4 linked regions of the Caenorhabditis elegans genome follow. The protein of the gene in region 2 purifies or fractionates together with the protein of the main gene of each other region. This does not show direct contact. Each region holds a gene or a part of one and is shown on either strand. Other genes may lie near its edges.

The links.
Region 1: the proteins of C32E8.9 (region 2) and F33C8.2 fractionate together in Caenorhabditis elegans (co-fractionation; one large-scale study listed by BioGRID). This does not show direct contact.
Region 3: the proteins of C32E8.9 (region 2) and ZC443.2 fractionate together in Caenorhabditis elegans (co-fractionation; one large-scale study listed by BioGRID). This does not show direct contact.
Region 4: the proteins of C32E8.9 (region 2) and gta-1 fractionate together in Caenorhabditis elegans (co-fractionation; one large-scale study listed by BioGRID). This does not show direct contact.

Annotation. Positions count from the first base shown.
Region 1 is NC_003284.9:14,719,626-14,727,184, forward strand, and holds F33C8.2 (DUF38 domain-containing protein), read left to right. Parts: upstream 1-1,772; coding exon 1,773-1,960; intron 1,961-2,748; coding exon 2,749-2,820; intron 2,821-2,867; coding exon 2,868-3,504; intron 3,505-5,819; coding exon 5,820-6,029; 3' UTR 6,030-7,015; downstream 7,016-7,559. Other genes in the region: tsp-8 (Tetraspanin), read right to left, coding at 7,057-7,200, 7,314-7,429.
Region 2 is NC_003279.8:3,794,044-3,799,853, reverse strand, and holds C32E8.9 (Ethylmalonyl-CoA decarboxylase), read left to right. Parts: upstream 1-1,785; 5' UTR 1,786-1,804; coding exon 1,805-1,819; intron 1,820-1,887; coding exon 1,888-2,058; intron 2,059-3,139; exon of another isoform or gene 3,140-3,169; coding exon of another isoform or gene 3,170-3,315; intron 3,316-3,369; coding exon of another isoform or gene 3,370-3,688; exon of another isoform or gene 3,689-3,695; intron 3,696-4,245; coding exon 4,246-4,335; intron 4,336-4,386; coding exon 4,387-4,740; intron 4,741-5,049; coding exon 5,050-5,226; 3' UTR 5,227-5,298; downstream 5,299-5,810. Other genes in the region: Phosphatidylinositol-binding clathrin assembly protein unc-11, read left to right, coding at 501-649; C32E8.1 (RING-type domain-containing protein), read right to left, coding at 3,170-3,315, 3,370-3,688.
Region 3 is NC_003283.11:12,809,702-12,812,847, reverse strand, and holds ZC443.2 (uncharacterized protein), read left to right. Parts: upstream 1-1,655; 5' UTR 1,656-1,689; coding exon 1,690-1,989; intron 1,990-2,108; exon of another isoform or gene 2,109-2,235; coding exon 2,236-2,496; 3' UTR 2,497-2,636; downstream 2,637-3,146. Other genes in the region: ZC443.3 (Glutamic acid-rich protein-like), read left to right, coding at 98-256; ZC443.1 (NADP-dependent oxidoreductase domain-containing protein), read left to right, coding at 2,790-2,864.
Region 4 is NC_003282.8:10,178,883-10,184,470, forward strand, and holds gta-1 (putative 4-aminobutyrate aminotransferase, mitochondrial), read left to right. Parts: upstream 1-1,777; 5' UTR 1,778-1,785; coding exon 1,786-1,825; intron 1,826-2,281; coding exon 2,282-2,391; intron 2,392-3,075; coding exon 3,076-3,145; intron 3,146-3,187; coding exon 3,188-3,285; intron 3,286-3,609; coding exon 3,610-3,948; intron 3,949-3,995; coding exon 3,996-4,658; intron 4,659-4,743; coding exon 4,744-4,875; 3' UTR 4,876-5,057; downstream 5,058-5,588. Other genes in the region: mspn-1 (Mitochondrial sorting homolog), read left to right, coding at 1-102, 904-1,059; ptrg-1 (Tyrosine-protein phosphatase 4), read right to left, coding at 5,068-5,127, 5,178-5,311, 5,502-5,588.

The sequences.
Region 1 (7,559 bases), on a different chromosome or scaffold from region 2:
TAATTTTAGTTGTTCTTATTGTTCCTAAAATTTTAATTTAATATTTCTCGACTTATTAGTGATAGCATAATTTTGAGATAACAATTGTTCAGATTCCAAAAACAGCTATGGCTGTTTCCTTTATCGATATGTGTTTGGAAATTTGAAAAAGCACAACCGTATTAGTATGACCGCTCCGTACACATAATCTAACTATGAATCAAACTGAATGGTTCCGATACACTTGAATATTTTGTCCTTCTTATTGAAACTACTACTTCATCCCTAACTTCCATTTGTAAAAATTTCTGAAGGATATCTTCTCGCCCGCTCGCACGTTTCTGTTTTCACATTATCCAATGTCTCTCAATTATTGTTATATTTTTTGTCTTTGGAATACGTTGCTTCCCCTTCTATCAGAGTGCCTCTCTGTCTTGTGACTCAAAAAGGCTCTCTGCAAACACACACACACACACACAGGTTGGCTATCCCCTACTTCCCACGAATGCAGTTGCTAGGCGATTTTTAGACAGGACGACGCCTTCCAAATATACTCACAACCTATTGTGTGAGTAAATCTCTTCATCACGACTCGGTTTCCAGAGCGTCGCGCAGCTGGGCACCGGGCTCTGTCTTCTTTGTCTATAAACCGTGGTCTCTTATCTGATGTGATATTTTCTCACAGTGAAAAATCAATCGGCATCAGTGGAGACTCTGCTTTGTGATTTCAAAATTCGACGCGTCTGACCGCCAACAAGCAGATGGGTGAAGATGTACTTCGTATGCAAATATTTGGAGTGGAAGAAAAAAGGAAAAAAAAAGAGTGTGTAAAAATTATAGGTGAAAAGTAGGCTCCAAGTTGCAATCAGCCATTGGGGGTAGTTGAACAGAAATGTACAAGAAGAAACCAACAAAGATGACAATTCAAGTATCTCATATCAATGCTTGGATGTATAAAAATTAGTTTTGGTAATTTTCCCAAAAAGCCTGAAAAGTATGAGTATCCTAATACCAGATTCAAAAAAGCGAAGGAGAACAACATGAGGTGCGATTGGATTCTACTAAACAGGGTATACAAGATTGGTTTGAAGAGTCATCTTAATTCTACAGAGAAGGTAACCAGCAAAACAAAATCTTCTTCCATTAAGTTTTCTATGATAAACAGTGTATTCGTAGATTCGCACTTCCACATAATCGTTGATAACATTGTCAAAATCATCCATAAACTGAGTGACGCCCACGCAGCTAGACAGGTCTGAGGAGAAAACTGATAATCATTTTCTGACACAAACCAACATTCTCCGGGTCCTTGTTTCTGAATATTGCCAATAAATCTGGAAAGTCACCACTATTACTTTCCTCTTTTGTTTGTATGTTTCGGATTAGCGGCTACAGGTCAGCCAATAAACTAATGCGACATGATGTACGCCTTTATTCCAATTACTTGTGGGAAAGTCTGCTGACAATAAATACACTTTTCACACATCCGAAAGTTGGCTGTTAGTATCTTACACTATTTTTTTCCGATTCATATCACATGCTCATTACAAATGTCTACCTATTATTATCTTTTTTCCAACATTGTAAGCCGTACTTCCCTCCCTTCTCTTACCAGTATCTACATTCGAAACACGATTGAACTAGTGCTGCGCACTCAGCTATCACTTCTTCTTCCCCACGCACATTGTTGCCAGGCAGTTTTGTGAGCTCTTGTTTCTTTTTTTGTTCTGCTCAAAAGCTTATCATTGACGTTTATGAGTAAATTTATGAATTTCAACTTTCAGGAAGTCAACATGGATAGAGAGAATACTGAGAAACTGTGTAGACGGTTCTCCATTCTTAATGAATTTCAAAATAAGCAGCCCGCTCAATATGCTTTTCAAAAACTCAAGAATGCGTTCCCAGATCTTCAAATTGAAGAAGTCGAATATTGGTACAAACAAGGAACCCGTGGATTCGAGGAGGTGTTTCGAAACACTTGGTATGGTATTTTTTGATTTTTATGAACTTTAGAAGTAGTTTTAGAACGCCAAACCGTGTGCTGCCATTTGGCATATGATAAAGGCTAAGGCATATGCTTTGGCTTAGACTTTAGCATAGGCGTAGGCTTAGGCTTAAACGTTTGCTTAGGCTTAAGCTCAGGCTTAGGCTCAGGCTTTGTCCTAGGCTTAGGCTTAGGCTTAAACTTCGGCTTAGGCTAAAGTTCAGCTTTGGCTTAGGCTTAGGCTCAAACATTGGCTTGGCGTCAGTGGCGAGCGCACGCTATGAAGGCTTAGGATTTTCCGGTTTTTTTTTTTGATTTTTGAGGCGGTTCCTGTTGGCCGATTAAGCTTAGGCTGAGGCTTAGGCTTAGGCTTAAGCTCAGGCTCAAGCTTAGTTTCTTCCCAAAAAAAGTTTCTTTCCGAAAGGGTTTGTTTACAAGGGGTCTCACCACAAACGGAAAGCAAAAATTAGCAAAACAAAGCGAAAATTTCGGAAACATTGAGGTTTACGCCAGAATTGTTTTCTGTGACGTCCCAGATAATGACGTTGAAGGTAATGACCAAGCTAGTGATGACATTTGTCTAGGAACTCATTTTTTTGCGTTCTGGGTCAGTTTCCAAATTATTTTTGCTTGTTTTTTTCATTACGTTTAATCATGAAAACGCTGAATTTTTAGTTGAGATGAATTACACTGTAATTGACACTTTTGTGCAACTTTGAAAAAAAAGGTAATTTAGATGTCCTAGTCTTCATCCTTCAAAATTTTGTAACCCAATTCATTTTCAGTCTCGACAGTAGCTCACTGTTCCCAGAACCGAAAGAACATCACATACACAGGAGAATGCCCGAAAATTTTAAGTAAGTGAATGACGATTCAGAACAACTTTATCTACATAAAATTTCAGTTATGTACTTCCACTAAAAATTGAGAAAATCAGTTTGTGTTTGGGTCGCAATTTCGTAGAAATCAATGTGAGCAGAGATGGAAGTTATGAAACAAAGGAATTTATGGCTTTTTATCATGTAGACGCCAAGAAATGCAAAATTCAAAAACAAGGAGAACCTTTCCAGAAATTATCTGCAAAAAATTACGTAGACGCGGCTTTGGACATCTTTCAAGAAATATGTGATGCACCAAAATTGGAAGTTAATGCTCTACGTGTTGAAGTAGCTGAACAGAATCTGCCAGAGACAACAAGATCCGCTTTCTTCGAGAAACTCCAAAAAATGCTCTGGGCCATGTATCCATTCAATTTGGAACTGAGACAATTGAAAATGGTGGAAATTGAAGAAAAGGAAATTATGTTGATTTTGCCATACATAGATCCAAACGAAGAATTTGAACTGTCTATCATTGTGAAAAAACATGAACGGAAGATGGATATGAGAAGAATTATGAACACTGTTCATTGGGGAAACAAATCTAGTCTAAAAACGAAAGGAGTTCTTATAACGTGCCCAATAACTCATTTCTATAATTGTGCAAAAGTTGATGCCACAGTTTTTGCTTTAACACCACAGGAAATTACAGATTATGTCAAGGTATGTTTATTTATTTTTTAAATACACCAGCCGTTCGCACGCGCTGAAGCGCGTGCTCCGACTGGCGTACTCAAAATTAAAATCAAATTCTGAAATTTCTAAGCATTTCACTGCAGATGGAACGTTTTTTTCCTTGTTTTCCGGAAGTTTTCGAGCAACATAAATATTATATACTTAATTTTAAGCAATTACAATTTTAAAACCTCAAGTTTCCTGGAACTTTTATGAGACTTTTTCAGGTCCTTTCCGAAAGTTTTTGGCGAGCGTTTTTGGAAATTATCTATAACAAATTCTGGTTTTTTTTTTAATTCTTAAAACTTCAGAATATTCTAGGAGTATCAAAACTTGAAAGATTCTAGCACTTCGCAGAAGTTTCTTGAATTTTTTCAGGGAATTGAACATTCCAGACTTTTCTCGAATTTTCTAGAAAATTCTGGAACATTCGAGAATTTTCCCGATTTTTCTAGAAAGTTCTGGAACATTCCAGAATTTTTTTTCAGAAATTTTGAATTCCCGCCAAAATTTTTCAAAGAAATTTTGAATTCCCGCCAAAATTTTTCACAGAAAATTTGAATTCCCGCCAAAATTTTTCACAGAAAATTTGAATTCCCGCCAAAATTTTTCACAGAAAACTTGAATTCCCGTTATAATTTTTCACAGAAAATTTGAATTCCCGCCAAAATTTTTCATAGAAATTTTGAATTCCCGCCAAAATTTTTCACAGAAATTTTGAATTCCCGCCAAAATTTTTCACAGAAAATTTGAATTCCCGCCAAAATTTTTCACAGAAATTTTGAATTCCCGCCAAAATTTTTCACAGAAATTTTGAATTCCCGCCAAAATTTTTCACAGAAAATTTGAATTCCCGCTAAAAATTTTCACAGAAATTTTGAATTCCCGCCAAAATTTTTCACAGAAAATTTGAATTCCCGCCAAAATTTTTCACAGAAAATTTGAATTTCCCACCAAAAAGTTTTTCTCAGTAAATTTGAATTTCCCGCCAAAAATTTTTCTCAGAAAATTTGAATTTCCCGCCAAAATTTTTTATCAGAAAATTTGAATTTCCCGCCAAAACTTATGGGTCTCGCCAAGATGGGTCTCACCACGAAGGGTCTCACCACGAAGGGTCTCACCACGAATTTTCTCGAATTTTCCAGAAGGTTCTGGAACATTCCAGCATTTTCTCAAGTTTTCCAGAAGGTTCTGGAACATTCCAGAATTTTCTCGAATTTTCCAGAAGGTTCTGGAACATTCCAGAATTTTCTCAAATTTTCCAGAAGGTTCTGGAACATTCCAGCATTTTCTCAAATTTTCCAGAAGGTTCTGGAGCATTCCGGAATTTTCTCAAAGTTTCCAATATCCGTTCAATAGACGAAAAGTCAATTTTTCCCAAACTACAGTAATCCTACAGTACTCCTACAGTACCTCTACAGTACAACTACAGTACCCCAACCATATCCCGACACTAACCCCAAAGCAATATCACTTCAAAAAACGAAAAGCCAATTTTTTTCAAAAATACAGTAATCCTACAGTACTCCTACAGTATTACTACAGTACTACTACAGTACCCCGACCATATCCCACCACTAACCTCAAACCAATATCACTTCAAAAGACAAAAAGTCAATTTTTCCAAAACTACAGTAACCCTACAGTAACCCTACAGTACCCCTACAGTACTACTACAGTATCCCGACCATATCCCACCACTAACCCCAACCCACAATCCCTTCAACAGCCGGAAACACCTTGCAGGTGTGACGTCACAGACTACAAACTACAATTGTAACATCCCTCATGTATTTTTTTATATATAAGTAATGATAATGAGGGGTGAATATCATAAGTGAGGATTAAGTCAAAATGCACTGACCAACACGACCCATTATAATTTTAAAAAAAACACTCCAAAAATGTTTAGAGTAGGGCTCCCAGCTGAGCGAGGCGCGAAATGGGGGCCTCACGCCGACGCCGTGCGCCGCTGTGTGTGTGCAATAAAGCGCGACAGGTATTTGTTAGGAGCGGCCGACACGTTCGGGGTGCCGCAGCTTGGCGTGAAACGAGAAGCTTGATGTGTGCGCAACGTAGTGCAAAAAAGAGTTATTTGGAAGCGGCCGGGGTTCCGCGTCGCACTATACATTTGGATACAGGCGACGTGAGTGACGCCGTGAGGCCGGCGCGGCGATCTTATGGCAACCTTGTTTGAAGCAGTAAAACTGAAAAAAAATTGAGAAGTTGCACCCTTTTGTCTTCAAATAAAAATCTCATCAAATGCTTCAATCTGTTTCTCATTAAATTACCTAACTATTCAGAAGTTGCTCTACATGGAGACTACTATAACCTCCATCAGTCAAGACTGGAAATCCAAAATCAAGTTTGAAGGGGACACAGCTCTACACATTTTGGAATCGAACAAGTTTTGCCAACGACTTAATTCAAATACATACAGATGCATGGCAAATGACCGATGTGTTTTTGTTACATTCTGCCACCAGGGCGTCAAAATTGCATCACGGCGCTAATAATTCTCATACAGCGCTTTATGGGACTCAGTTTCTATCAACATTTTTCCAGACTTTAATTCACCTTCTCTAACTTTTAAATTATGCGATTATTTCGTATTTTTGAAGCATTTTTTGGTTGTTTTGCTCTTTTGAATTATTTGAAATTTAGTCTTGCTCATTTTCAACTGCAAAACCAATAGTCTCTATGCTCTTCAAAAGTTTTGCACTGTGTTGCAATAATATATTGGAAAGCCATTGTTTCTTTATTTATAGAAGGAGGATTTTTGCAAAACTCAGAAACCAGAATGTAGTTTAATCTTAATCGCAAAAAAATTTAGTTAAATGTTTTTATTTTGAATTCAAAAATAATGAATAACACAGATTCGCTGAAAACTCTTTTGATTTTTTTAAACTATAAAATTTTTCATAACTTTTTTATTTTTGAATGGCTTTACACTAATTGAGAATTTATCATTTTTCGTTTCTGGTTATTTTCCAACCATCTAGTCAAAAAGTATTGGAAAACGCAGAATTTTCCACAAAAAAAACTATTGTGATGTTTGGAAGCAGGGTGCCAGAAAACCTATTATCCTAAGCTTTTCTGAGTTTATCATAAAATTTAAAACACCCGACTAATAACTCAAAAAAAAAGCTGCGCGTGTGTGCTATAAGACCCCTGAAAAACCGTAAAAAATGCAAAAAAAAACAAAAAACTCACTAATATATTTTGACAACAAACATTTTAATTTCAAACGAAAAAATCCTCTCCCCGATCTCAATCTTATCGACCTGAATAATTCGTACTCCTTCAATTGATTTTTTGATCAAGCTACTCCATTCACTACACTCCTTTCCTGAGAAGTCAATTATTGCAAATTCGACTTTAATTGTTTCACAAATATTTATCCAACCACTCTTCATCAACTCTACCCAATCTGAAAGAATTGTTGTTTGTCATTCGATTATTTATCTTTACAAATTCCAATAAATCAGAGAGAAAAACATTTATTATTCATTAAAAAACATCTATAAACAAAAAAGGCGTTTATTTTTTAGAATTGCCTTTGCAACAACATAAGGTCATAGATAACACAATTCCAAGGAGTTGAACAATGCAAAGAACCACACAAACTCCTACTATCAAGCTCAATGAGCTGCTCACGCTTTCGTACACGGCATCGGCGCATCCCTGTAAAAGTTTTGAACTTGATTGTATTTATTTGAAAGTTAGATTAACAAAACTAATTAATAAATCACTGAATATTTACATTGTTTTTATCAATATATTTTTGAAAATCTCACCCGTGTATTGATAAATTGAGCATAAGTGTTGAGCGGAGCTTGGCTGAATGATCTTCCACAGTTATTTGGGTAGGAAAGCTTTCCATGCTCATTACAGCAAGATGATGGGACTCGACCTGAAATATTGTGATTTTTTCGTAAAGTTAGCTAGCTACAAAATTTATATACTTTTTCGAATGTCTATGAAATCATTGTATGTAGGAAAACTTTTAAGATTATCTTACTCAGCTTTTTGCGTTTATTACC
Region 2 (5,810 bases):
TTTTTAAAATTAGAATCTCGGAACAATTGAATTTTTATCTAATTTTTCACAATATTTCAAGATTATTTTAAATGTGAAAATCGATTTTGAAGCATTTTTTGTTAATTTTTGCTTCATTTTCGAAATATGCTCATACACCTATTTTATACTAAAATATAAAATTTAAACCTCTGGAAAAAATTCAGTTTTATTTAAAATCGAAAAATCGGTGGAACATTTCATATTCCAGCAATTTTTGGATAAGCGGAAAAATAATTTTGGACAAAAAATAGCAAAACATTTTTGGGTTGGATTTCGGGCCAAAAAACCAACAAAAAAAATTTATACTTAAATTTATTAAAAAACCGCGAGAAAGTGAGCAGTTTTTGGTTTATTTTTTGGTCTAAATAATACCAAACAAAAACAAAAAAGCCCCACGCCTAGAATAGGAATTCAACCATTTTGTGGGCGTGTCTGGCACTATATTTCGGTAGATTTTCAAAATCTTATTTTTTTTGCAGCAGCATACGGTCAACAATATGGATACGGACAACCTGTTCCACCACAACAGCAACACCAAATTCAATTGGTTCATGCAGCGATGGCTGCAAAGAACGCTGCACAAGCTCAACAGGCCCAGGCCGCCTCAGCCGATCCATTTGGATTATAGTCTAGTCGTCTATTTCTCTCTATCTCTCTCGTAACATTCCCTGATTTATTTTTTTTTAATGTAAAAACAAAATGATAGCCTATTTCTATTTCTTGATATCCCCCAAGATTCTCCAATTTTAGAATTTCCAGTAGATTGTGCAAAACTAATCAAATAGCGAAATCCAGGTGCCACTCCAATTTGAAATCACTTAGTATTCCTTTTTAACCTTTTTTTTTCAAAATTTTTGAATAGTCAAAGTATATTGCAATCAAATGTGTCGTTTTTTTGCATTGAAAAATTCGGAAAAATCGATTTTTTTTCTCGATTTTTCAATTACCCCAAAATACCGAAAAATCAGAATTTTTCGACGTCACCCTTGATTAGAATATATATTCCAGTAAATTGCCTTTTTCTTCGGTCGAATTGTCATAATTTTTCATGCTCTCTAGATACAATGTACCCCCCAAAATTCTTCAGATTCGGCCAAATTTTCGTCAGATCAGTGATGTTTTCCCCCTATCTCTATCTCTGCGTCTTCCAGTCTCTAGCGGCATTTTTTGTTTCATTCTTTCCACCCAAAAATTTATTTTGCAAAACGCACGCTTCTGTGTCCTATTTAATTATTTGAATTTTATATATTTATTTATTGACTCCCCCTCCCCCCCCCGGCTCTCCCATTTTAAGCGCTCGTGTTTCATAGCAATAAATTAAATTATTTTCCATCCTTCCTTTTTTTAGATTTTGAAATTTTGCAACTTTATCTCTATTGCCAAGAAGCGATGATAGATTGATTTTTCAATTGATGCAATAAATATTCGTAGATTCCTCGATTCACGTCATACTTTTTTGTTGTAAAATCTACCGCCAGACACGCCCACAAAATGGTTCATAGCCCCGCCTATTTTAGGGGCGGGGTCTTTGTTGTACGGTTTTTTGTACAAAAATTGTAGGAAAATGAAATTTTGCACCGGTTTTTTGGATTCTAAAACTGTCAAGAAAACTATTGAATTTCTTGTTTTTCCGCCAATACCTAATGAGACCCTGCGTTTGGTGGCGGGGCTTCGACTTGTGACTCAAAAATAGGGAAAATATATTCTTATTCTTCTCACTAACCGCTTATAACCTAAAAATAAAAAGATTTTTCTAATTTTTCAGGGCAACTGAGCGACAAAAATGTCTGGAAAAGTGGTATGTTCTTCGAAATTTGAATATTGCGTGATTCACGACTATGTGCCTTTAGAATTGAATTTTTTCAGGTTAGACCATCCGCAGCACTGCTGGAAGTCTTTAAATCATGGCAAGGCGGTGCGATTCGAGTTCAGCGAAACGAGAAGCTGAAAACAAGACTTGACGTAATTCTGGACCGCCCGGAAAAGAATAATTGTTTGTCTGGAGAAATGATGAAGCAGTTTGGAGAGCACACTGAGGCAAGTTTTTGAATTTGCGCGTGAAATTTGATGCATTAGAGGTAGAGACCGAGCAAAACAGTGTGCGCCTTTAAGAAGTGCAGCAACCGATTTCTCCAGCACTTTTTAATACTAAATGCTTGAGTATATTACTGGAACACAAAATTCCGAGAATGCGTATTGTACAACATATTTGACGCGCAAAATATCTCATAACGAAAACTACAGTAATTCTTCAAATGCACGTGGTGTCAGGCTGTCTCATAACTGTTTGATCTACAAGAAAAGTGGGAATTTTTTACCCCAAAAAATGTGACGTCAGCACGTTCTTAACCACTAGTTGAGAAGTCTGCATCTAAATTCTCGAAATTTTCGAGATCTACGTAGATCAAACCGAAATGGGACACTCTCACACCACGTGTAAATGACATGACTACTGTAGGGCTTGTGTCGATTTACGAGCTCTTTTTACAAAATGAATTTAAATTATTTATTTATCGATTGAATAATAAATTTGAGAAAAAACTAGCAAATATTACGAGGAAACAGATGAGAATGGAATATCGATGTCTTAAAGAAATTCATTTCGAAAATCAAGTCCGTAAATCGACACAATGGCAGCAGTAGTCATTTAAAGAATTACTGTAGTTTTCGCTAAGAGATATGTTGCGCAATGCGCATTCTCAGAATTTTGTGTTCCCGTAATAGAAAAAATTTGAAACAATATGGTAAATTATTATCACGGAATTCTGGCTTCCCTCATAAATCGAAATGGCAGAGTTTGCCGAACTAGGCCATTTTGGGTCGAAGAGATTTTATGTAGATTTACGGCGCGTTGCGTGTCGCGTCGCGGCTCGTTTTTAGTTGTAAAATTGATGTATTTGCCCGTGTGGAGTACACGGCACTTTTCCACACGTTGTCCGGCAGGCGATTGTCAATGGAGCGCGAAAATTCAATGATAAAGGCCAGAACCCCGTGATTACTGTACTAATTTAATTGTCACGCATGTTTTTACGCAGGCTGAACTTGAAATTATTGTGATACCGGTTACTGTAGTTTTGCGCGAAGACCTTAAGAATCTCAGAATCAGAATCAATCTACACAGTATTTTTCAAATCATTTATTCGAATTTCTACTGATTTATGAGAGAAAAATTCTTGGGCAGATTCTCGATCGTCTTGTTATTGAACTTGTACACTTTTCTATCGAATGGACAACGGATCATCTTGTTTTGGATAATATTTCCAGCGCATTCGGTGCAAATTGTGTGGCCACACGCTGAATATGATAAGAATAATATCATTATTTTATGAGTTGCATTGGCAGACTTACGCAGAACACGAGGCACGGTCATTCCAGAATCCCCATATTGTACTGCACAAATCTCACATTCAATCGGAAGAGTTTTGAGATCGGAAATCGCCTTTTTCAGGAAGTCCGTCACACGTTTTTCCTTCTCAAGAGCCTCCTTCGTTTCCACAAAACAATCCACCATATCATCCAGCTGCACCTTCAACTTTTCGTTCTCCGATTGCAGACGCTTCACTTTCTTCATCAACTGTTGCTCTTCCCAAGGAACTTTTTTCACTGGCACCGCATCGTGTCCTACTTGCTCTGCAATCCTCTTGCTTCTGCAATCCTCTTGCTTCATTTTTTTGAAAAATCTGATTCCGTTTTAACATCACGTATTTACACGGCTTTACACGGCCTCTCTCAATTTCATTTATTTAAAAATTCCTTTTTTTTTAATTTTACACGCTCTCACGGGAAGATCAAAAATTATTAAATTTAAATTACACAATTATATTGGAATATTCGAAGGTACAACTATTACTGGAACAAAAACTTTCGAGAATGCGTATTGCGCGACATATTTGACGCCTACTGTATTTAGCGCATGTGTAGATTTACGGGCTTGATTTTCGAAACGAATCGAAATAATTTATTTATTGAAAGAATATATTGGAACGAAGGAAAATGGAATATCGCTGTCGCTACTCGGAAAAAAATTCATTTCGAAAATCAGCCCCGTAAATCGACACAAGCGCTATTTACAGTAGGCAAATAAATTTTCGCTAAATTTTATAAATTTTCACAATATAGTGGGTTACTGTACTTTAAAACACACATGTTTTTGCGCAGTCGTATTTGAAATTATTTTTTTCGTTGCGAGACCGTAGTAAAAATGCCTGAAATATCACTTTTCAGCTATTTTCCGATGATCAAAACGCAATTATCGTTGTTTCGGGAGTTGGAAAATCGTTCTGCTCGGGTGCTGATTTGGGTCTTATCAAAGATGTAATGAAATTCCAATTTTTAAATTCCAACTTTCAAATGTTTAAATTTCAGATTTCGGACCAAAAGCTTGGCGTCCAAATGTTCGAGTACATGTCATCAATTCTTTCACTTCTCCACTCATCACCAGCTATTTCAATTGCGAAAATCCATGGCCACGCACTCGGCGGAGCCACCGAAATTTGCTCGTCGACCGACATTCGAATTGCTCATTCTGGCTCGAAAATCGCATTTTTTCAATCGAAAATGGGAATTGTTCCGTCGTGGGGAGGTGCCGAATATATGGAGGGAATTATGGGTAGAGGACGAGCATTAGCTGCAATGGGACGGGCAAATGTTATGTCAGCTGAGGAAGCAAAGGATCAAGGATATGTGGATTATGTGTACAAAAGTGAAGATGAAGCTGAGGTACGGAACTGTGACGTCATTTGTCGCCTAGAAATCCCATAAAATCGAGGTGCATTCGCGCTCCACTGGCAAATGAAAAGGCTCCGCCTCTAAACGTTGGGTCTCGTTAGGTATTCGAACATTTTCAATTATTCTCGTCTTTTCTTAAAATTAATTTCCGTTTCTTCCATTATTATGAAAAACATGTTTAAAACGGAAAAAGTATGCAAGAAAAAAGTCAATACCTAACGAGACCCAACGTTTGGGGGCGGAGCATTTTTACCTCGCCGTGGAGCGCCATTGCTATAATACATTGAAATATGTTTTCAGAACTTCATCAACCAAGTGGCTAGCGCTGGTTTGAAAGTGACAAGAGCCCAGAAAGCTATGCTGAACGCTGTAAAAATAGGAAAAACGGAGCAAAAACAAGTGCTGGAAGCCGTCTGGAACGGGGAAACTCATCGAAATGCACTTCAGAAACAACTCGAAGCGGTCGTCAAGAAATAATTTTGCTTTTTTTTGAAAGAATTTTGTATTGTATTTTAAACTATTTTTAGAGAAATGAACAATTCTGAATCCAAATATTTATTTCTCCAATACTATTAAACTTGAAAAAAAGTCTAGATGAAAATTAACAAATCTGTGAACTTTGGCATTTGTAGCGATCTCTATGACTGAGATCGTGACGAGACCCACTCAAAAAATCCCATGTGCTTTTGAAATTGCCAATTTTTAGCAAAATTACGATATTTCGGGAGCACAAAAATCTGAGAATGTGTATTGCGTAAAATATCTCGTAGCGAAAACTACAGTAAGTCTTTGAATGACTACTGTAGGGCTTGTGTCGATTTACGGGCTCGATTTTCGATATTAAATAATTTATTTTCCCTAGATTTTCTCAAATTTTTTTTCTCAAATTTGTTATTCAGTCGATAAATATAGAGCTCGTGAATCGACACAAGCGCTACAGTAATCATTCAAAGAATTACTGTAGTTTTCGCTACGAGATATTTTGCACGTCAAATATGTTGTGCAGTACGCATTTTCAGAATTTTTTGTTCCCATAATATCTATATTTTTCTCAATAACGT
Region 3 (3,146 bases), on a different chromosome or scaffold from region 2:
CAAAATAATAATAAATAAAATGGTTCTCTCGTTATTTCTAATTAATTGTTGGGAAGCAAATTGTTCACTCGTAAAGTTTCAACAAAACTATTTTTAGGCTGCGTCACAATCGAAAATTGTGGACGATGCGAGTGATTCCGATAGTCATGAAGAATTCGACAAATGTGATCAGGATTCAGACGATGGAAGTGACATTGAAGAGTTGGAGAAAATCGAGGACAAGGACGTTGATGCTCTAGAATATGAAATGCTATAGGTGCCAAGTATCTTGCTTTTCTGCCAACGGGTACTTGTGCACTCTGTAACGTGTTTCTTGCTTCAAATTTCTCATTAACATTCTTCCGAATTTTTTCATTTTCAAAATTGTTCAATAATGCCAAAGAACCGTTTGTTTTTCTTTAGTTATTAAATTGAACAAACTGTAACTAAATGTTTTTAACATTCTTATTTGTACATAGAAATGTAACTTCTCTAATTGTTTCATATGTATTCATGTTTCAAGTATTCATTTTTCCTCAACTCCTTATATGAATTTTTGTATAAAATGTAAAAACATCCGGATTTTTCACAATTACCATCCCACCACTGCATAATAATTCTAGATGCCTGCTTGCGCATCATGGCGTCAACAAAACAAAAATGCGTTGTTGTGTTATTTGTTGACAATGACCGGTTTGTAGTAGTGATGGCAGTGGGTGCCACTGCTTTAAGCTTTTCCTTCAAGAGAAAGTGAGTAGACAGGAAAAAAAAGTGAGAAAAATAATAATAGGCTTGATTGAAATTTCTTGTCTGTTCTCATTTTCTTGCGCATGGGTAATGCGTGATACTGAAGCTCGTTAGCATTGTAGAAAACCGAAGAGGGACTTCAAGCTTGAAAGAGGGAAAGTTTTGAAGAGGTGGAAAAATGTGAAAATTGATATAGAAAATCATGAGTTCACGGTGTCAAGTTTCCAATAGAAGGTACAAATAATAGAGCAAGACCAGCACTAAATTTCAGGATAAACACTTTGTTAAAATCTCGCATATTCTAGCTTTAACTAAGTTCAACTAAAAATAGTATTGTTGAGTTTAATTTTAAAATATTTTCGCAAGTTGCGTCCTTGTGGAAGGCTTACTGTACGTATTATGAAGGTACCCACTAGGATGATCCAGTACGGAAGTAAGTCGTAAAGATTTTACCAAACGATTTTTCATAAAGTACGAATTTTTCATAAAGTCTTGTAATTCATAATCGAGGTCACATTGTTGTGGGAAAACCATGCGCTTCACCCACTGACCACCTGATTTCAATAAAAGCTTCTAATATTTCTCTTATCATTTGCTCCAAGCACTCTAGCAGAGCATCATGACGTGTTGTTTTGTTCAATTCTTTTTCTGCATCCTTTACAAAATCAAATCAAAAACAAGCGGGGAAGTGTACGGGGGGTGTGTGCAAATTATAACTCACAAGATGCTTGAGGTGGTCCACTCGTTGCCTCCTTGTTTGTATGTGTGTAGTGTTCCTCATCCTATTTCTCGTTCTCTTTCATTTTGTCTGCTTCTCTACAGCTTTTGTCCATTTATTCTTTTGCATACGATTGGCTTTTCATTTACTTTTTGCATACTTACTACATTTATCCATCTCTTTCATAATAATAACAATAATAATATTTCCAGGGACACTTCCTAACTAACCTGCTTATCTTCAAAATGTTCGAAAAAGTAATCAAACTATGGAGAGATACATTCCCAAAATCGGAGCACAAATTGATGTCAATTGAGTATGTCGCTGCGATTGAAGAATTCAATGAGTATTTCCCTGGATATGCTGCAATGAATGATAGTAACTATTCAAAACTTCAGCATTTCTTCCGTTCTCTTCACCCAATTGGATGTATTAAACCTTTCCGATTTCATTATTCATCGGCATTTGCATTGGAAAACTCATTAGATGACTATCTTCTAAAAAATGCTCAATTCAAAAGAGACGGCTTAGCTGGAGAATGGGCGGTGAGTTTCTAGAATTGTTTTAAATAAAGATGTCAAAATCTTGAACACGTTTGGCATTATTGTCTTAAATTTGAAATTAAATTCCAGTCTGAAAATTTTGAAAGTTTGGTTGGCATATATCAAATGTAGGTTTATTTTGTTAAAATGTACAATGAACTCACAAAAACATCAAATTAACTTTTTAATCCTGTTAGGAAACAACATACACCAAATTCTCTACAATTGAAAAAAAAATCGAATTTTTAGATTCACATCTTTGCCGACCACAACGACCATATTATTGAAAAATACCGAATGTACAAGAAGAAACGACTTGAGAAACTGGAACGAACTTTTGAGGAAAGAAAAAAGAAAGCAGAGAGAATGAATCAAAAGCATGAATATCGCTTGATGTGGTATTTAGGGAAGGAAGGATATTACAAATACACCAATTCACGACTGGAGAAGATGGAAAAAGACCGAGAAATTAGAAATAAAAATGGAAAGGAAATGGAACAAGTCACCTAAACTTCTGGTACTTAAAAATGTATTTTGTGTTCTTCCAAGTCGTCATTATTCGTCTACTTCTACCCATTTGACATAATCTTTTCCTCATCATTCCCCTCGTCCATGTTGTTAATTTCAATAAAACGAAGTACAAATTGGAACAGCGCAAACTATTTTCTTTATATATTAAGAGAAACACACACACAGACCACAAATTCAAGGTCTTTCTTCCAGTTTTAATTCGATAATTAGGATTGCGGTTTGTGTATAAATATGAAGTACCCCCAACTATACAAACTTTATTTTCCTTCGAAATGTCATCAAAAGTTCCAATCTTCACTCTGTCTAATGGAGTTCTCATGCCAAGTATTGGTCTTGGTACCTGGCAGGTAACATTTAAAATTAGTTTGAAGTTTAGAATAAATTAACTACCATTAGCAAGGATTTATTCAACACTTGGTTGTAATGTTACTTGAAATTGCCAGTTTTTGTACATTGATATAATTTTTAGGAATTTTATTAAAGTTTCGGATAGCTGTACCCAACAAATTTCAATAATTCAGACAAAAAATGTTTTATCGGAAATATTTAGAAGCAGAGAAGCAAACTAGAAAATAATTTTTTCGCTCAAAAATCTGTATGAGCCAAAGAAAAGAGTCCACTCTATAATT
Region 4 (5,588 bases), on a different chromosome or scaffold from region 2:
ATTCTTAATGTGATTCTCAGGAATGAAAAGATCAATAATACTGTAAATCTCGGAGAAATCGCACAGGCAGCAGAAGGTCTTAGTGGAAGTGATTTGAAAGAGGTTCGTGCTTTTTTTCTTTTTAAAATTTTAATCAAATATATTACATCCCCGAAATGGTCGTAATATTATTAGTTCGCTTTGTGGCTATATATGTCACATATATTCTAGTGGAATTCGGTAACGAAATATTTAATATAAATCTGTTCAACATGAAAAATTGTAGACAATAATATATCTTGGATTTCCTATAAAATCCAATACATTTTTAACATGAATTAATAGTGAAACAGCAAATAAGTATATGTGTTTTTATTGAAAACTACGAAAACTCGATTAAACTTTTGCAACAACGAGAGTTTGAAATTACAGTACTCTTTAAAGGTACACACCTTTTCATAGTTAACATAAAATTTCGTGTCGAGAATATTTGGGGCAGAAATCGCAAAGTTTTGCGAGCTTCATGAGAATAAATTGCTGTTTCACAATTAATTCATGTTTCTAATGTGAAAAATGCATTGGATTTTAAAGGAAAAATGTAATTTGTAATATGATAAAATGTAATATAATTGTCTACAGTAACCTTAAAGGAAAAAAAAATACAAATAAAAACATTAGTGAAGAGAATTGTATATATTTAATACAAGTTGTTCTAATAGTGAGCTTGAAAAAACTTACAATTTTGAATTTAATTTTAAAAAAACTCATTTAAATTATTTCAACTTCTTCCAAAATCATCTAAAAATATTTAGAAGTTAGATACACAATAATTAGCTTAAAAAATAATACGCGTTCGAAAATTTTAAGTTTTTATGTTACAGGAAAATGAAACGCCAATAATCGTGTTGTTATGTAATTTTTCAGGTTTGTCGTCTTGCTCTTCTCGCTCGAGCAAAAGCTACTGTAGCTTCTGGAGGTTCCGTAAATCAACTTCTTCCATTGGAACAGTCCGATTTTGAGTCAGCAGTGCATAAATATATGAGAGCCGCACATTTACTTGTTGAAGAAACACTTGATTAGTCTTAAAAGTTCAAGAAACGAATGTTTTATTTCATGTAAACTTCTATTTCTTTTTCTCTAAAAGTAGTCCATTCGTTCTTGTAGGTCTCAATTTATTATACCTTTTTGTAGTATAAAGCTAAAGAAATGTAACGGTGCTTTGACTTAAAATCGAAAATCTTTTTTTTTATTCCCCGGAGCTTCTAGAACAGATTCAAAAACTAATATTTCTGATTCCTGATTTTTTACTTCCCTATTCTTATGTATTGCATTGATTTAATAAGTACGTTTAGATTACCGGTTAGATTGTATTCTCTTTTTCTCTTTTCTTTCACTTGTCGATATCTCCAGAATCTGAAGAAACAATAAATCGATCACGTGACCCCATCTCTTTGTGTCAGTTGTCCTTCCGATTACACCCTTCGTGCTCTGCGAGCCTTTTTCTTTGCACAACGTGGAGCAAGTTTACACCATTCACAGGCTCAATATAAACGTCTTCCATTGGCTTCCAATTTTTCAGTTTACTTCTTCAAACAATTTTCACTAGAAAACGCATTTATTTCCTTCACTAAAAAACATAAGCTCCTCCCCCTGCCTTTCTCTGCGTCTCGTTTGACGCCTAAAAAGAGAAAACGGGAGAAAAAATTATTCGGTTTTCTCCTGCCACTTCAAATTTTACTCTTCTTTCTCTTTGTTTTTTTCAAATCGATTTTCGAATAATTTGAATAGTTTTTTTCAGAAGGAAGAATGCTTCCCAGACTGGCAAAGTCATCTTTAATCCAACAGGGTAAACCAATTAATATATTTTGGATTCAACTGGGATTTATTTAGGAAATAATTTAACATATAATTTTTGATTTTGAAAAACCTAACCTGCAGCTTTTTAGTTCTTCTAGATACATTCATTTTCAACCCTTTTTACTTGCATCTTTGACCTAAAACACATTGAAAAAGAAACAAACAACACTTTTTTGATTCTCTTATCAGTTTATCAGTATCACAAACATTAACGAAGGCAATTGATTTTTCTCGAGTAAAACCGAATAGGGAAAAGATCAGAAAAACTGAACGATAAAATCGAAGTTTTGGTAAATTGGCAGGTATTTTGATATTCACCACATGTTTCAATTTGGAAGATTAAAAAAACAAAATTTTCTGAAATTTTAAAAAAATACTAAAACACTTCAACACCATGAGAATGTTTCCAAAAAATGCTCTGACTCAATTGAAACGTTTATTTTAGTGCGTGGAGTTTCGGCGATTGCAAATGCCGAGCCATCTGGACCTAGTATTTCAACGAGCATTCCTGGACCAAAGTCAAAGGCGTTGAAACAGGAAATGGATAAAGTTCATGTAAGAATTGAGATATCGAAAGTTAAATGGTTTTTTTAAACATCATGGACCTTAAAATACCTTCAAATTGTGATAACTTATTTTTTATATCTATTCTAAATCTTATACGCTCATTATGTATTGGTTTTAGTTTTTGACAATTATTCAGTGGCGAAATCGCTTGAAATTACTTTTCAAACAAAAACTTTGGCTGAACTTTCTGACAACTTGCTCAACAGAAGCTCAACATTGTCAATTTGATTCTAAATTATTAAGAATTATAAGATAGATAAATTATAATTTTAGATTACAAAACATTATTAGCTATTTAATGGTCACACAATTGCGAAGAATTTCGAGCCATTCAGTTCAATTTTCAAATCAAAAACCAACATCTCAACTCCGTAATTACATGAACATCACATTCTTACCCTTATCACAGAACGAATGAAATTCGTCTCAGAAATATTACACTTTCTCTGGTCAACTGACAACTGACATTCAGGAGTTTTGATTATTTGATTTTAGTTTTTTTAATTTCAAATCTTCAATTTCATTGATAATACAAAAAATAAAATAATATTTCAAGGAAATTTAAATTTTATACATATTGTCAAAAATACTGTAGTTATGAAACATATGAATCATTCCAAATGCAATATGAGATTTCAAAATTTTATAAAAATTAAAAAAATTTTTTTTCAGCAAACTACATCCGTTCGTTTCCATGTCGACTACGAGAAATCATTCGGAAATTACGTTGTAGATGCTGATGGTTAGTTTTTATTTTCAGTTTACACACCAGGATTTAATTTAGGAAATGCACTTCTCGATGTCTATACTCAAATATCATCTCTTCCTTTGGGATACAATCATCCAGATTTGGTTAAGGTCGCTTCGCAGCCACATTTGATTGTGAGTTTTTATAAATTGATTTCAAAATCAATTTTTGAACCTCTTACAATCAATTGGAGCATTCGAACTTAGCCTTCCATGTACGCATGAAAATGTTTTACGCCGCATCCGCATTCAGGCACAAATACAGAAATTAGGCGGTAGGCAGTCAGGCAGGCAGGAGGAAGGCACATAATGACCATATTTTCACATTAACCGTACACCTAGAAACCAGTAAAAAATTAAATATTAAGTGATTTGCCTGTCTGTAATATTTGGATAAAACTAAAGAAAACAAGATACTTACTGAAAAGTTGAGAAATGTATTAGAAAATAAATTTTCAGACATCTCTTGTTTCTCGTCCAGCTCTTGGATCCTTCCCACGTACCGACTTTGCTGATGGAATTTCTCATGCTCTTACATCAATTGCTCCAAAAGGATTGAAGGCAGTTCAAACAATGCTTTGCGGTACATCGGCCAACGAGAATGCAATCAAAACTGCATTTATCTGGTATCAAGCTCAGAGAAGAGGAGGTCTTGGACCAGATGCTCTTCATTTGGAAAGCTGCATGAATCAACAGAAACCAGGAACTCCAAATCTTTCAGTTATGGGATTTGAAGGAGCTTTCCATGGAAGATCTTTGTGCATGTTGTCGGTTACCAGAAGTAAGCCAATTCATAAGGTATTTCAAAGTTTTATTTCGAAACAATTCTAATTAATTATTTTCAGGTTGATATTCCAGCATTTGACTGGCCAATTGCCAAGTTCCCCCGTTATAAGTATCCACTTGACCAGAATGTTGCATACAATAAGAAGCAAGATCAGGAGTGTCTTGCTGACGTTGAAGCGAAGATTTCCGAATGGAAACGTCGTGATAATGATGTAGCTGCAATTATTGTTGAACCAATTCAAGCAGAAGGTGGAGATCATTATGGAAGTCCAGCATTCTTCCAAGGCCTCCGTGATATTACTTCTAAACATGGAATTGTATTCATTGTTGATGAAGTTCAAACTGGAGGTGGAGCAACTGGAGATATCTGGGCTCATGATCACTGGAACTTGAGCTCTCCACCAGATATGGTCACATTCTCAAAGAAACTTTTGACAGGAGGATACTTCTACGGAGAACATCTCCGAGTTAAGGAGGCTTACCGTATTTACAACACATGGATGGGAGATCCGACCAAGCTTCTTCTTTTGGAAAAGGCTGTTGAGGTTATTAAGAGAGATGGATTGATTGAGCAGAGCAGAGAAGTTGGAGCTGAATTCCAAAAGAGACTTGGAGAACTTCAAGCATCGTCTGGAGGAAAGTTGGATCAAGCCAGAGGAAGAGGAACTTTTGCCGCCGTTGACTTCCCATCTGGATCTTTGAGAGACAAATTTGTTGACTTGGTAAGCAGAATTAATAGTGATAAATGTCAAATTCAGCCATCTTACATTTATATATTAAATTTCTTAAACTTCAATTTAATTTTAGGCCATCAGCAACGGACTTCACTGTGGAGGATGTGGAGACCGTTCACTTCGTTTCCGTCCATCACTCGTCTACACCAAAAAACATTTGGATCTGACTTTCGATCTTCTCGACAAGACTTTGAAGGGATTGTAATCATTTTTTCTTTTGTTTTCTCTTTAAAGCTGTATCCATTTTATTTGCTTCGCTGACCATCTAGCTTGTTATTATTTCAAAATATAATTAATAAATTAAATATTCATTTATAATGACACCGGAAATTGATTTTTTATTGTTTCTTCTCGGGAAGTTATACTTCGGATCGATTCCAATTGAATTTATAAATTTTTAGACACGTGTTCCTCCGACTAGCTGTGACATCTTTTCATAGATTATCTCGATTTCTTGCTGAAAACAAAATAATTTGGTATTGGAAAATGAGATAATTCGATTTTCACCTTCGAGGCAAAAATACCACACTGAATTTCGGTATACGATGAAAGAACCTGTACCACGTCAACACAACCCGTTGTCTCCAGTTGACACGCTAAAGTTGTGGCTGCACAAATACTGAATGCAAGTGCTGTATCATCTGAATATTCATCAATTTTGTTATAAATATAATATAATTAAAGTTTAAAGTATTTACAGATCATAGTATGTACGTTTCTACGCACACTACCATTTTTAAACTAGAACCAAAGGGGTTTTTATAAACTCCAAATTTGTGTTACAAAATTTTTTTGAACCAAAAATATTGATAGATATCAAGCTATACTCACCATTAAACAAAATAGAAAGTGATAATGTAGAAGTACTATCTGTTGGTGATGGAACACTTGGTGGGTATTTATGAGCCAGAATAAGCA